3 linked regions of the Callithrix jacchus genome follow. The protein of the gene in region 2 interacts with the protein of the main gene of each other region in a pairwise test. Links are inferred from orthologs where the notes say so. Each region holds a gene or a part of one and is shown on either strand. Other genes may lie near its edges.

Region 1 (3,749 bases), on a different chromosome or scaffold from region 2:
GCTCATCCATGAGGCCACATCTCCCAAAAGGAAGTTCAGAGGGGAAAAAAAGAAAAAGAAAAAGAGAGCCTGAAAGGATCTGTTGTTTTGGAATAATTTGATAAAACAGATCATAGTAGTCCATAGTTCCGCCTGCCTAAACAAAGTAAGTAACCTTTCATCTGGCTACACTTAGATTCTGTTCCTACCACTTCCTTAAGTCACTAAAAATAGGTGTTCTGTCCCTTGTTAAATGACTGAAGTCAACATATCCTTAAGCACAAAAACCTGCTCACCAGATGACAACTGGGACAGGACCCAAAACAAATTTGGGGAACTAGACCCGTCTCTCTTTCCCCAATTAAACGTGTCACTGAATTACCTAATGATGAGATCCAGAAAGATTAGAGATTGTCATTAGACAGGAGTAGAAAAACACACAACTTCAAAATCACAGCAGAGCTGTGGAAACACAGAGCAGGACACAGTCTCAACGAGTATTAAGAATGAATAAAAAACTGCTCTTTGGCCTGGGGTCACTGCCTTCCATGGCCATGGCAGAAAGACAACTTAGTGACACCCTTTAAAGAAGACTGCAGTTTTTGTGATCCAAGAAATTGTGGTGCCCAGGTTTGAAGTCAGAAAGGAGAATAGACTAAGTTTGCACCCATTCTGGTAGCAACTACCACCTGAAAGCTACCAGGTATAGAACCTCATATAGTATGTCATATATTTCTGAGTAATTAACAATTTTTAAGCCCCTTTCCTATCCTTCAGAAAATAAATGTTCATCCTACTTATGTGCTTCAGTGCCACACAATCACTGGAAAAAAATGATACGACAGCAGCTGAAATGACAGGGATAAGTTGAAGTTTCTAAGATTTCTGGCCGAACTGCTTTCCAAAATTTCTTATTTTTCTATCCATCCTCAAACCAAACATCACACTTCAGGAGTCACTTCAGAGGCAAACATTTCAAGAAACGAGAGCAGTAGGAGCAATCTTCAAAATTCCCTCTTAAGGGGAAATGTTTAATATAATTTGTACAGCACCTAATTAAATACATATTAAATTTTTAGCACTTTTTTCGTTGCCCCTGTGCCCAAAGTATTTCAAGATCAAAACTAGAGCTTAAAACTCTATGTGGTGCCACTCTGACCATATTTCCATTCATTCAGTTTTCACTTTGCAAAGCGTTTTCTAAATACTATTTTCATGCCGTGCCTACGTCAATGAATTTAAAGGCAGGAAAACAGTCCTCTGGCTTATCTGCCACACCTTTAGGAGCAATGGTGACACCTACTTCCAAAACTGCCATACAAACAAAGCTTCTCAAACTGTCCAAAGGCACATACACTTTTAAAAGGCCAAGTTCTTTTAAGCAATAAGAAGTGATTTATCAACACCTGTGAAAAGAGGAGAAAAAAAATGGGGGGGGGGGAGCTGGTTAAAAATGCCATGATTGAGGTTTGGGAGACAACTGTCCCTAAGACCAAAATAGAGAAACAAGTGGGAACAGCATGCCTAAATCCACTTCCCTAATAAAGAATTACTGCTTTAAAAACTCAGGCGACAAAAATACAAAAACAAAAGTACAAACAAAAACCTCAGAACAGCACAAACTTGAACAGGGAACGAAGTCAGTAGTCGAATGCCTGTGCAGAATCCTTTCCTGCATCAAAGCCTGCAACTCGAACAGTAGGTGACAGAAGGTCCCTAGGGCTTCCATCTCCAGTCGAGTGCACACTCTCGAGAGGACTCGGCGACCAGGCATGCACCCGGGTAGAGATGAGGCTGAGTCACGCACAGGAAGGAACTGGTAGTTGCGGACAGCAAGTAAGAAGAGAGGCAGGAGCAGGGTGGAAGTGAGGGGCGGAGTAGGAGATGCGAGAGGCAGGAGACAACTTCTCATTTGGGCTCACCAAGGACGGGGTTCGGCTATTCTAGAGCAGAAACTGCCAAAATGGAAGTCGTAGCGACTGAGCTCCCTCCGGGATCGGGGGTCGCAACATGGCCACGTATGTGAGAAAAACTGTTTTCGAAGGACTCTCCACCACGCCCCGGCCCGTCCCTGAGGGCTGGAGCGACCATGGCCCGTTTCCCAAGCCCTCATGCTGCCGCCAGCCCCAAAGAGGCAGAAAGAAAGGGGAAAAGGGGGCTGTGGCCCCGGAGACTGTCCGACCCACACCCCCAGGGATAGGGACATGGGCCCTGAAAAAGCAAGGCCCCACCACCCTCACCCTCCGGCCGGCTGCCGCAGCCCCAAGACGCCCTTAGCCGCTCAGCCGCTGCTTGGCGATCCGATCCCCTATGGCCCTAGCCCTCAGGACCCCAACACTCTCAACCCACTCCACCCCCTCACCAGCTGCCGCAGCCACCTCGAACGGCCGCCGCTTTTTGGGCCGATTCTCACCGCCGGGGTTTCCCTCTCTGACCTCATTTCCGTTCTGGGCCGGAGGGGTGGGGCGGCGGCGAGTGGGTGGGGCTGGCTGCAAGAGCGGGCCCCCGACCCAGTGCTTCCGCCCGTGGCCACACCCACTTCCGCCCTGAGGTGGGCGGGGCTGCAGGAAGCCGGGAGATGGGGCAGGGACCAAGGAAGGATGGTGAATAGGGGCTGGCCGGGAAAGGGCGCCTCAGGGGCTGAGGTGCCCGTGTTGGGAACTACTCCAGCAGGCTGGCCTCATCTTCCTTAGGGGCGTCCAGAAATTGACGCTAGGGAGGGTTGTCAGCTTCCCCCTTGCTTTCTGACCTTTATAAAGGGTGTGCGAAGTTGAGGGGAAATGGATCTTAATGACATCTGCCCTGTGAGCTGGTACAACCTTTGGGGGGGTTGTTTTGCACTGAGTTACTCAGAACATTACAAACTGCCTTGAGCAAGTGATACTGGATTATAACTCAAAGTATAAAAGAAATATTCGTGAATCCATACCGATATAAATAAACGACTGAATGAATTAAAGATTGGAGAAGAAACAAATCCCCCACAGAAGAATCTCAAAGTATGCAGACACACCATCCTGGAGCATAAATTCCACCTCCTTAAATGTGGGCTCTGCATATTGACTTCTTTCCCAAAAGTACAACATATGAAAAGGGGAAAGTGAGTAATTTTACAGTGGATACCTGGCAAACAGTAATTCAGCCAGGTGACCAAGAGTACGTGCTAAATCATGTTGATAGTATGTGGAATGATATGTAATGAGAATGGCACTTTATGATAGTGTCCTTCCATATCTCATAACCCCAGTCTAATTATAAGAAAAGAAAAATCAGGCCAGGCGTGGTGGCTCACACCTGTAATCCCAGCACTTTGGGAGGCCGAGGCGGGTGGATCACGAGGTCAAGAGATCGAGACCATCCTGGTCAACATGGTGAAACCCCGTCTCTACTAAAAATACAAAAAATTAGCTGGGCATGGTGGCACGTGGCTGTAATCCCAGCTACTCAGGAGGCTGAGGCAGGAGAATTGCCTGAACGCAGGAGGTGGAGGTTGCGGTGAGCGAGATCGTGCCATTGCACTCCAGCCTGGGTAACAAGAACGAAACTCCATCTCAAAAAAAAAGAAAAGAAAAGAAAAATCAGACAAACCTGAATTGAGGGACATTCTGCAGAGTGCATGATCAGTATTCATCAAAATGGTTAAGGTCAGCAAAAGCAAGGAAAGTCTGAGAAACTCAGAGCCAGGAGGAGCCTAAGGAGACATGACAATGTAATATGGTATCCTGGCTGTGACACTGCAATTTAAAAAAGAACATTAGGTAAAAACTAAG
Region 2 (3,649 bases):
TTTCATTGTGAAAGCATACTGATGAAGCATTGTGATTTGAAGATCAGTGCTATAATTATGTCTTTGGAAATTTAATATATTTTTCTTCACTTTCTCCATAGCACTATTTACAGAAATTGAGATTATTTCTAAAATGAAAATAGAGAATATTCAAAATATTTCTAATGTAGAAGAATAAAACAGAACTATCCCTAGCAGATATAAAGGCTTATTATAAAATTATAATTAATAAGATAATGTGGTTTTATCATAACTATAGAAAAATTTTTCAAGAAACAAAACAGAATACAGCAATAAAGCTATGAATATATGGAAACTTGATTAATGAACAGATGAAACAGTGGTCACTGGGAAAAAAAAGGTGAGTTACTTAATAAATGGACCTGGGACAATGTGTTATCCATTTAAAATAAAGTCAGTTAAGCCTATTCTTCAGACTATATACTAAAATCAGTACTTCATGGATTAACTACTGCAATATGAAAGGCAAATGTATTTTCTTTTTGAGATAGGATCTCACTGTGTTGCCCAGGCTGGAGTGCAGTGTTATAACCACCACTCATGGCAACCTCAACCTCCTGGGCTCAAGCAATCCTCCCACCTCAGCCTCCCAAATAGCTGGGACTACAGGCACTGTGCCATCCCACCCAGCTAATTTTATTCTATTTTATTTATTTATTTGTAGACACAGGGTTCCACTGTGTTGGAAAAGGCAACCTTTAAAACTCTTACAAGACACAATAGAATATCTTAGTGGTCTCAAAAAAGAGATTTTTTTTTTTAAAAGGAAACACAAAAATACTAGTCATAAAAGAAACAACAGATAAATTTAAACGTATTAACATTAAGAGTTTCTGATTATCAAAAATACTCTAAGAAAAGGAAGAACAGCATTCATTAAACAAAGATAGATAGTGGCAGCCATGTAACTGCAGTCTCCAGGGAAGTTCGCATCATATGCCTATCAGAACATAAATGCAAGAATGTCTATGGCAGCATTACATACAGGAAAAAAAAGAATTCAAATATTCATGCACAGTAGAATGGAAAAATGGTGCTATATTGACAGAATTTGGAATATTATACAGTGATAAAAAATGAATAAGTACAGTCTCTTGAATCAACATAGATGTGGCAAAAAGCCTACACTTCAGAACATTCTGTTTTGATAAACCTAACAAACAAATAAAATTAAAGAATATATTTGTAATGTCACGTGTTATGAAAAAAGTTTGTTTTCTTTTTAAAGAAAGACTTGGAGATGATACCCAAAACTCAGGCTTGTGGTACTTTTAGGTGGTATAGACAGAGAAATACATTGTAAAAGAACACTTAGCTTACTAGAAGCTATAATCATGAGAAATGCAATGTGAAAGAAACAGATTTCCTCCTAAAAAAAGATGGAATAATTCCAGTAATATTCTAGTTCAGATAATAGACCTTTAATGTCTGTTGGTTGTTTTTGATATATATATATATAAATGCATTAGGCAAATTCAACAAAGCTTTTAAAAGGAAAATACATGTACAAAGCTGATATGAATGATGTAGTGTATAATCTCGGTGTTAGCATTTAACAATGTTGAGAATTTTATTACTGTGACCATATTTTAAGAAATCATTAGATCAAATATTTGCAAAGAAACATAAAAGAATTAAGGCAGAAAAGAAGACTAGTTCAAAAGAAGATAGGCTCGGTGTGAGGTGGAAATGGTCAAATAAAGTTTTGTGAAAACAGCAGTAGTTTCTTTTTGTTTTTTTTTTTTTGAACTTTTTTTAAATTATTATACTTTAAGTTCTGGGATACATGTAAAGAACATGCAGGTTTGTTACATAGGTATACACTTGCCATGGTGGTTAACTGCACCCATCTACCTGTCATCTAAATTAGGTATTTCTCCTAATGCCATCCCTCCCCTAGCCCCCCAACCCCCCACAGGCCCAATGTGTGATATTCCCCTCCCTGTGTCCTTGTGTTCTCATTGTTTGTCATCCACTTATGAGTGAGAACATTGGCTGGATAAAGAAAATGTGGCACATATACACCATGGAATACTATGCAGCATAAAAAAGGATGAGTTCATGTCCTTTGCAGGGACATGGATGAAGCTGAAAACCCTTATTCTCCACAAACTAACACAGAAACAGAAAACCAAGCAGCAGTAGTTTCTAATCATAGAGAATGGCCTTTCGGATACAGCTTAATCAGTAGCTCCAGGAGCATGTTTTATATTGGTTTAGGAAATGACAGCTAGACATCAAATCAAAGAACTTAGGAGTGAGGAGGCTTTGACCAAGACCAATATTATGCTAGCTCAATTCACGGAACCTCTATATAGACCCAAGTACTTTGAGTGACCTAAGTTTTTGTCTATTTCCATATTTTATATTGTGTGCTGTACAATACAAAATATAGTAGTTTGCACCTTTTGAAAGTTGAAAAATTATTGGCTGTGCATGGTGGCTCTCTTGTGTAATCCCAGCACTTTTGAAGGCTCAGGTGGGTGGATCACAAGGTCAGGAGATCAAGACCATCCTGGCCAACATGGTGAAACCCTTGCACTACTTAAAAAATTAAAAAAAATAGCCGGGTGTGGCAGTACATGCCGATAGTCCCAGCTACTTGGGAGGCTGAGGCAGGAGAATCGCTTGTACCTGGGATGTTGCAGTGAGCTGAGTTCATGCCACTGTTCCTCAGCCTGGGCAACACAGCAAGACTCTGTCTCCAAAAAAAACACTATCATGAACATGCAACCTGATTTAATTCAATGTGGATTTGTTTTTTTATTCACTCCTTCATGGTGTCTTTTTATGAGCTTTTGAAGAACTACTTTTCACTGATGACACTAAGGAGAATCAAAGTCATTTTAATTATTTTTTGTTTTGTTTGTTCCCTTTCTTTGCTGAAGGTGAAAGTCTGGTTCCAAAACAGGCGGATGAAGTGGAAGAGGGTGAAGGGTGGACAGCAAGGAGCTGCGGCTCGGGAAAAGGAACTGGTGAATGTGAAAAAGGGAACACTTCTTCCATCAGAGTTGTCTGGAATTGGCGCAGCCACCCTCCAGCAAACAGGGGACTCTCTAGCAAATGAAGACAGTCATGACAGTGACCACAGCTCAGAGCATGCGCACTTATGATACATACACAGAGGACCAACTCCATTCTCAGGAAAGAAATGTTGTGATGGCAAGCCTTACCCAAACATCGTTTACACAGAGAGATGACTATGGCAGTGATGTTTAATATTATTAAATCCAGGCATCTCGAATCTGTTTTCCATGATTTATAGAGGGTTTACACTAAGTGCCGCTTATTAAAAAGCTTCCACAGTGAAGATGGAGAAGGTGAACTTGCTTTGAATATTCCAGATGTGTTTGGTCGTGTGTATGGCAGTGAGCAGGTATGTGTTTGCTTTTGCTTGCACTGAAAATTAAATTGCTATCAAGACCAAACTATGAAACCTTTTTATTCAAGATGCCTCCAGAGTGAAGATACCGAAGATGAACTTGCATTGAACATTCCAGATGTGTGAGGTCATGTGTGTTACAGTGGGCAGGTATTTGCTTTTGCTTGCACTGAAAATTAAATTGCTATCAAGAATAAACCATGAAACATTTTATCCTGAATAGCCACAGTGCCTGAAATCACTCCA
Region 3 (3,749 bases), on a different chromosome or scaffold from region 2:
GGAATAAAACTCCCAAACAAAACACAAACATTTCTGGGTAGCAATTGATTCCTATCCCCAGACCAAAGCCAAAATGCAGACCCAGCAAGGCCAGATGCCCTTGCCATGGGAACCCAACCCTCTCCTCCAGGAAGAGTCAACACATTAAAAATAAATGGGGTTTTTATTGTGTGTCCACGAAAACAAAGTCATGGTGGCCTTTGGTTAATCCCCTCAAGATGACAACTAAAAGGAGGCATGCATGACAACAACAATAACCATGTTCTCTGATGGAGCGAGGCCTTGCCCTCCTGGACCCTAAGGGTTACAGGCAAGCAGGGCCAGGAGGCTAGAGAGGAAAGCACACCCAGGTCCCCCAGATCATGGAGGGCTTGAGTCTGCTGCCTCCCTGGTGGGACAAGGCAGGGGAGCAAGCACTACTCTGGGCTGGGCCAGCGCCCCCCAAGCGAGAACACACACAAAAGCCCCCACCCCCACCCCCACCCCCACCCTCACTGCTAAGGCCATCAGCCAGGACTTCCCCAGAAGAGCTGGCTCTGAAGCCCAGACCCTCAGGGCTCCCTCCAGAAGGGGTTGCCTTCCTCCGCCTGCATGAAGTAGTAAACAAAGAAGAGGAAGATCGCAAAGACCAGGAAAAGCAGCAGCTGGCCCCAGAGCGGGACCTGGCGATCATGGCCAAGCCCAGCCCCAGGAGCATGCTTTTCTGGCCGGATGGCTCGGCGGGTAAGCCATGAAGGGGAAGATGAAGATGAGGACACAGAAGAGGTGGAGGAGGAGGTAGGATAATAGGATAGGCCCAGGGAGCTCCTGGAGGCTGAAACAGGGCGGTAGTGCGCGATGCTCTGGTAGGCACTGTCCCGGCCGTACATGGGACGTTCCCTGAGGCAAAAGAGGGGAGCAGGTGGGCCAGGAGCCTGGGTGCAGAACCAGTCCCTGTTCCTGGGCCTGCCCTCTACGTACCTATCCTTGCACTCCTCTTCAGAAGACAAAAGATTGTCATCACGCACCTGCAGAAGAGAGTCAGGGTGAGTGGACCGACTGGCAGGGCCACCATGGCCCTGCCACATCCCTCAGTCCAAACTTCCCCAGCTGGTGCCCTCTGACCTTTGGTTAGAGGCCAGGGACCCACACCCTCCCGAATGGCTCTTGGTGTTCAGTCTTTTGTTTGTGGGGTCTTGTCACTTGTGCTCATGCCCTGCTATTCCCTTTTGCCCCCAGGAGTCTCAGGAAAAGCTTGAGCCTAGATTGCAGACCAGGGTGCTCTAGTCACAGTTCTGATGGCTCCCCAAAGTAGGGACCTGGCCAAACAGGCGTCTGCTGAGCCAGTCTCCCCAGAAGCACAGAAGCCACCATTTGTATCCAGTGGCCCCCTGGATTTATCCAAACACAGCCGCCATCCCCTAGATTGTACTCAAGTACAGGGCACCTGCCAGCCAGCTCACCTGGTGGTGGAAAGTGTCAGCATCTGGGAGTGAAGTCGCAGACTGGCGGAAGCCCCTGGACTGGCCCGCAGAGTCGGGCTCCCCATAAGTCCTGGTAGTTAAGTAGCTCTCTTCATAGTAGTCGTCATTGTAGCCTTGGGAAGGGGGGCAGCGGTAGCAGAGGGGGCATCGGTGTGCCCCACCTGGCCTGCTGGCCCTAATCTGAATCTCTTTCGGGACCTGTGACAGTTTCTCCCTCCTAAGGCTGCTGGAGTGGTTGGGGCTGAGGTCTCAGGTCCTCCCTGTGAGCGGGGTCCCTGACGCAGTCAGGTGAACGTGCCAGCGTGCCCACCCCACCCCTGCCTTACCCTTGCTCTGGTAGAGTAAGGCGTCCTCTTTCTTGGGAAGATCATACATATCTGAATCCACTGACGGCGAATTCAAGTCTGGATTGAAGGGAGGCGACAGAACTGTTTGCCCCCCAGGCTTCCCTCCCCTCTCCCCGGTGCCGCTCTCGACCGGCGCCCCTGCCACACCCTCGCGACCCCGATCTCCCCGCATCCCAGGCCCGGTCCCCACAAGCGAGGCTCTCACCAGAGAAGCGATAGGAGAAGGAGGCGGCGGACGAGCTGGGGGGCGAGAGCCGCCGCCTCTGGGTCTCGTACTCGAAGATCTTCTTCTCGTAAAGCTTACGAGTAGACCCTGGCCGGACACGAGGCGGTCAGGGCCACAAGCCGGGGAAGGCGCGCGGGTAGGGTGGCGGGGAGGGCGCGGGGCAGAGCGCGGGGAGGGGGCCCGGGGGCAGGTCCTGCCCGCCGCCGCGTACCGACAACTGGCCCGTGAGGTATGTTGTACTGGCGCAGCACGGCGGCCAGCTCGGTATCCGAAAGACCCGCGTAGTCGTCCATGGCGGGTGCGGGCGCGGGCGGAAGCCGGGCCCCTGCCAAAACCCGCCGAGCAGCGGCTGCCGAGGATCACGGCGGGGGCGGCACGAGCGCCTCGGGAGCGATCGCGCTCGCGTCACAGCCAAATCACTGTCTCGTCACGGCCTCGGGCTCCGCAGGCTGCGCGCGCTGTGCGGGGAGGGGCTTAACGGCGGGAGCAGCAGGCGCAGAACGGCCGGGCCTTGGGAGCTGGGAGGCTGGGGCAGTGAGTCCAAACGTCATAAACGCACGGATTGGCTAGCGGCGGACGGGGCGGGGCCCGCGCCGAGAGTCAGGACAGTGGGAATCAGTCTCGCGGTGGGAGTGGGCGGGGCCGCAAGCCCAACGTCACAAACACACGGATTGGCTAGCGATGGAGGGGGCGGGGCCCGCGCGGGAGCGGAGCAGAAGGTGTCGCGGTGGGAGCGAGCGGGGTCGCGAGTCCGTACGTCACTAACGCCCGGAGCTGTTGGGGGTGGGGCCCGCACGGGAGTCTGGGCGGTGCGGCTGGGAGCCTAGACGTCACCTTGAGGCGTGCGTGAGCCAGTCGGTAGAGAGGGGCGGGGCCTGTGTGTCTAACACCCGGCATCTGCCGGCCGGGAAGTGAGAGCGGCCTAAGTGGGCGCTAGCGGTGGCTCTGGTCCCTAAGTCACTTGGGCTCCCCACCGTCCCAGCACATCCCTTCTCTACGCCCTGGTCCCCTTTCCCGTGGCCCCAGGGCGTAGGATTCCCCGGCCGCATCCGGGTCGGCCGCCCCAGCAGCGGCGGGAAGGGTCTGAACCCTAAGGGAGCGCCGGCCCCGGGCTAGGCACTACTGAGGGAGCTTTGTGTGCGCATCACCTGGGAAGCGGCTGTGGGGCAAGGCCCGCGCCTACGCGGTCCTCGCAGACCCCCTGCCACGGGCCCACCTTCCCAGTCTGCAGGGCTGTCGCCCGTGCACATATGCTCGCTGCTTCCCACCGCCTCCCTCCTTCCTTTTCTCCTACCTCGCTCCACCCGGGAGGAAATGGGGCACTGGGCCAGGAGGCCGCCGGCACTCCAGGAGCAAGCAGCCTTCGAAGGGGCCCGGGCAAGCCAGCGAGCACGCCAGTGAGCGCGGACAGAGGGCGCTGTGCGATGTGTGCAGAGATGACGTGTGTCCAGCCTAACGCTTCATGTCGTTCATTCACCCGGGGCACTGGCGGGAGCTGAAGTGGGGCTTCCTCTTCTGTCGGAATGGCCCCTGAGCCCAGCATAGCCCGGCAGGGGGCAGACGTGGGTGTCGAGCTATGGAAGGGCTGCCAAGGCCTGCTCAGGAGCCTGGACTGTGGCTAGGATTCCCAGGACCTTGATCAGATAAGGGCTGCCCTACGGAGAATGGAGAAGAGGTGATATTCTTTTTTTTTTTTTTTTTTTTTTTTTTTGA

What was found.
Region 1: the proteins of MEOX2 (region 2) and GPATCH2L interact in binary tests that used the Homo sapiens proteins (3 or more experiments, as listed by UniProt). The two-hybrid records come from large-scale screens. The link is inferred for Callithrix jacchus from reciprocal best matches to the Homo sapiens genes MEOX2 and GPATCH2L.
Region 3: the proteins of MEOX2 (region 2) and EMD interact in binary tests that used the Homo sapiens proteins (3 or more experiments, as listed by UniProt). The two-hybrid records come from large-scale screens. The link is inferred for Callithrix jacchus from reciprocal best matches to the Homo sapiens genes MEOX2 and EMD.

What each region holds. Positions count from the first base shown.
Region 1 is NC_133509.1:111,081,143-111,084,891, reverse strand, and holds the start of GPATCH2L (G patch domain-containing protein 2-like), read right to left. Parts: upstream 2,412-3,749; 5' UTR 2,342-2,411; intron 21-2,341; 5' UTR 11-20; coding exon 1-10.
Region 2 is NC_133512.1:42,863,431-42,867,079, forward strand, and holds part of MEOX2 (homeobox protein MOX-2), read left to right. Parts: intron 1-2,909; coding exon 2,910-3,134; 3' UTR 3,135-3,649. UniProt on the Homo sapiens protein: Mesodermal transcription factor that plays a key role in somitogenesis and somitogenesis and limb muscle differentiation. Required during limb development for normal appendicular muscle formation and for the normal regulation of myogenic genes.
Region 3 is NC_133524.1:150,171,807-150,175,555, reverse strand, and holds EMD (emerin), read right to left. Parts: upstream 2,463-3,749; 5' UTR 2,330-2,462; coding exon 2,248-2,329; intron 2,124-2,247; coding exon 2,016-2,123; intron 1,868-2,015; coding exon 1,790-1,867; intron 1,577-1,789; coding exon 1,443-1,576; intron 1,008-1,442; coding exon 961-1,007; intron 880-960; coding exon 552-879; 3' UTR 145-551; downstream 1-144. UniProt on the Homo sapiens protein: Stabilizes and promotes the formation of a nuclear actin cortical network. Stimulates actin polymerization in vitro by binding and stabilizing the pointed end of growing filaments. Inhibits beta-catenin activity by preventing its accumulation in the nucleus.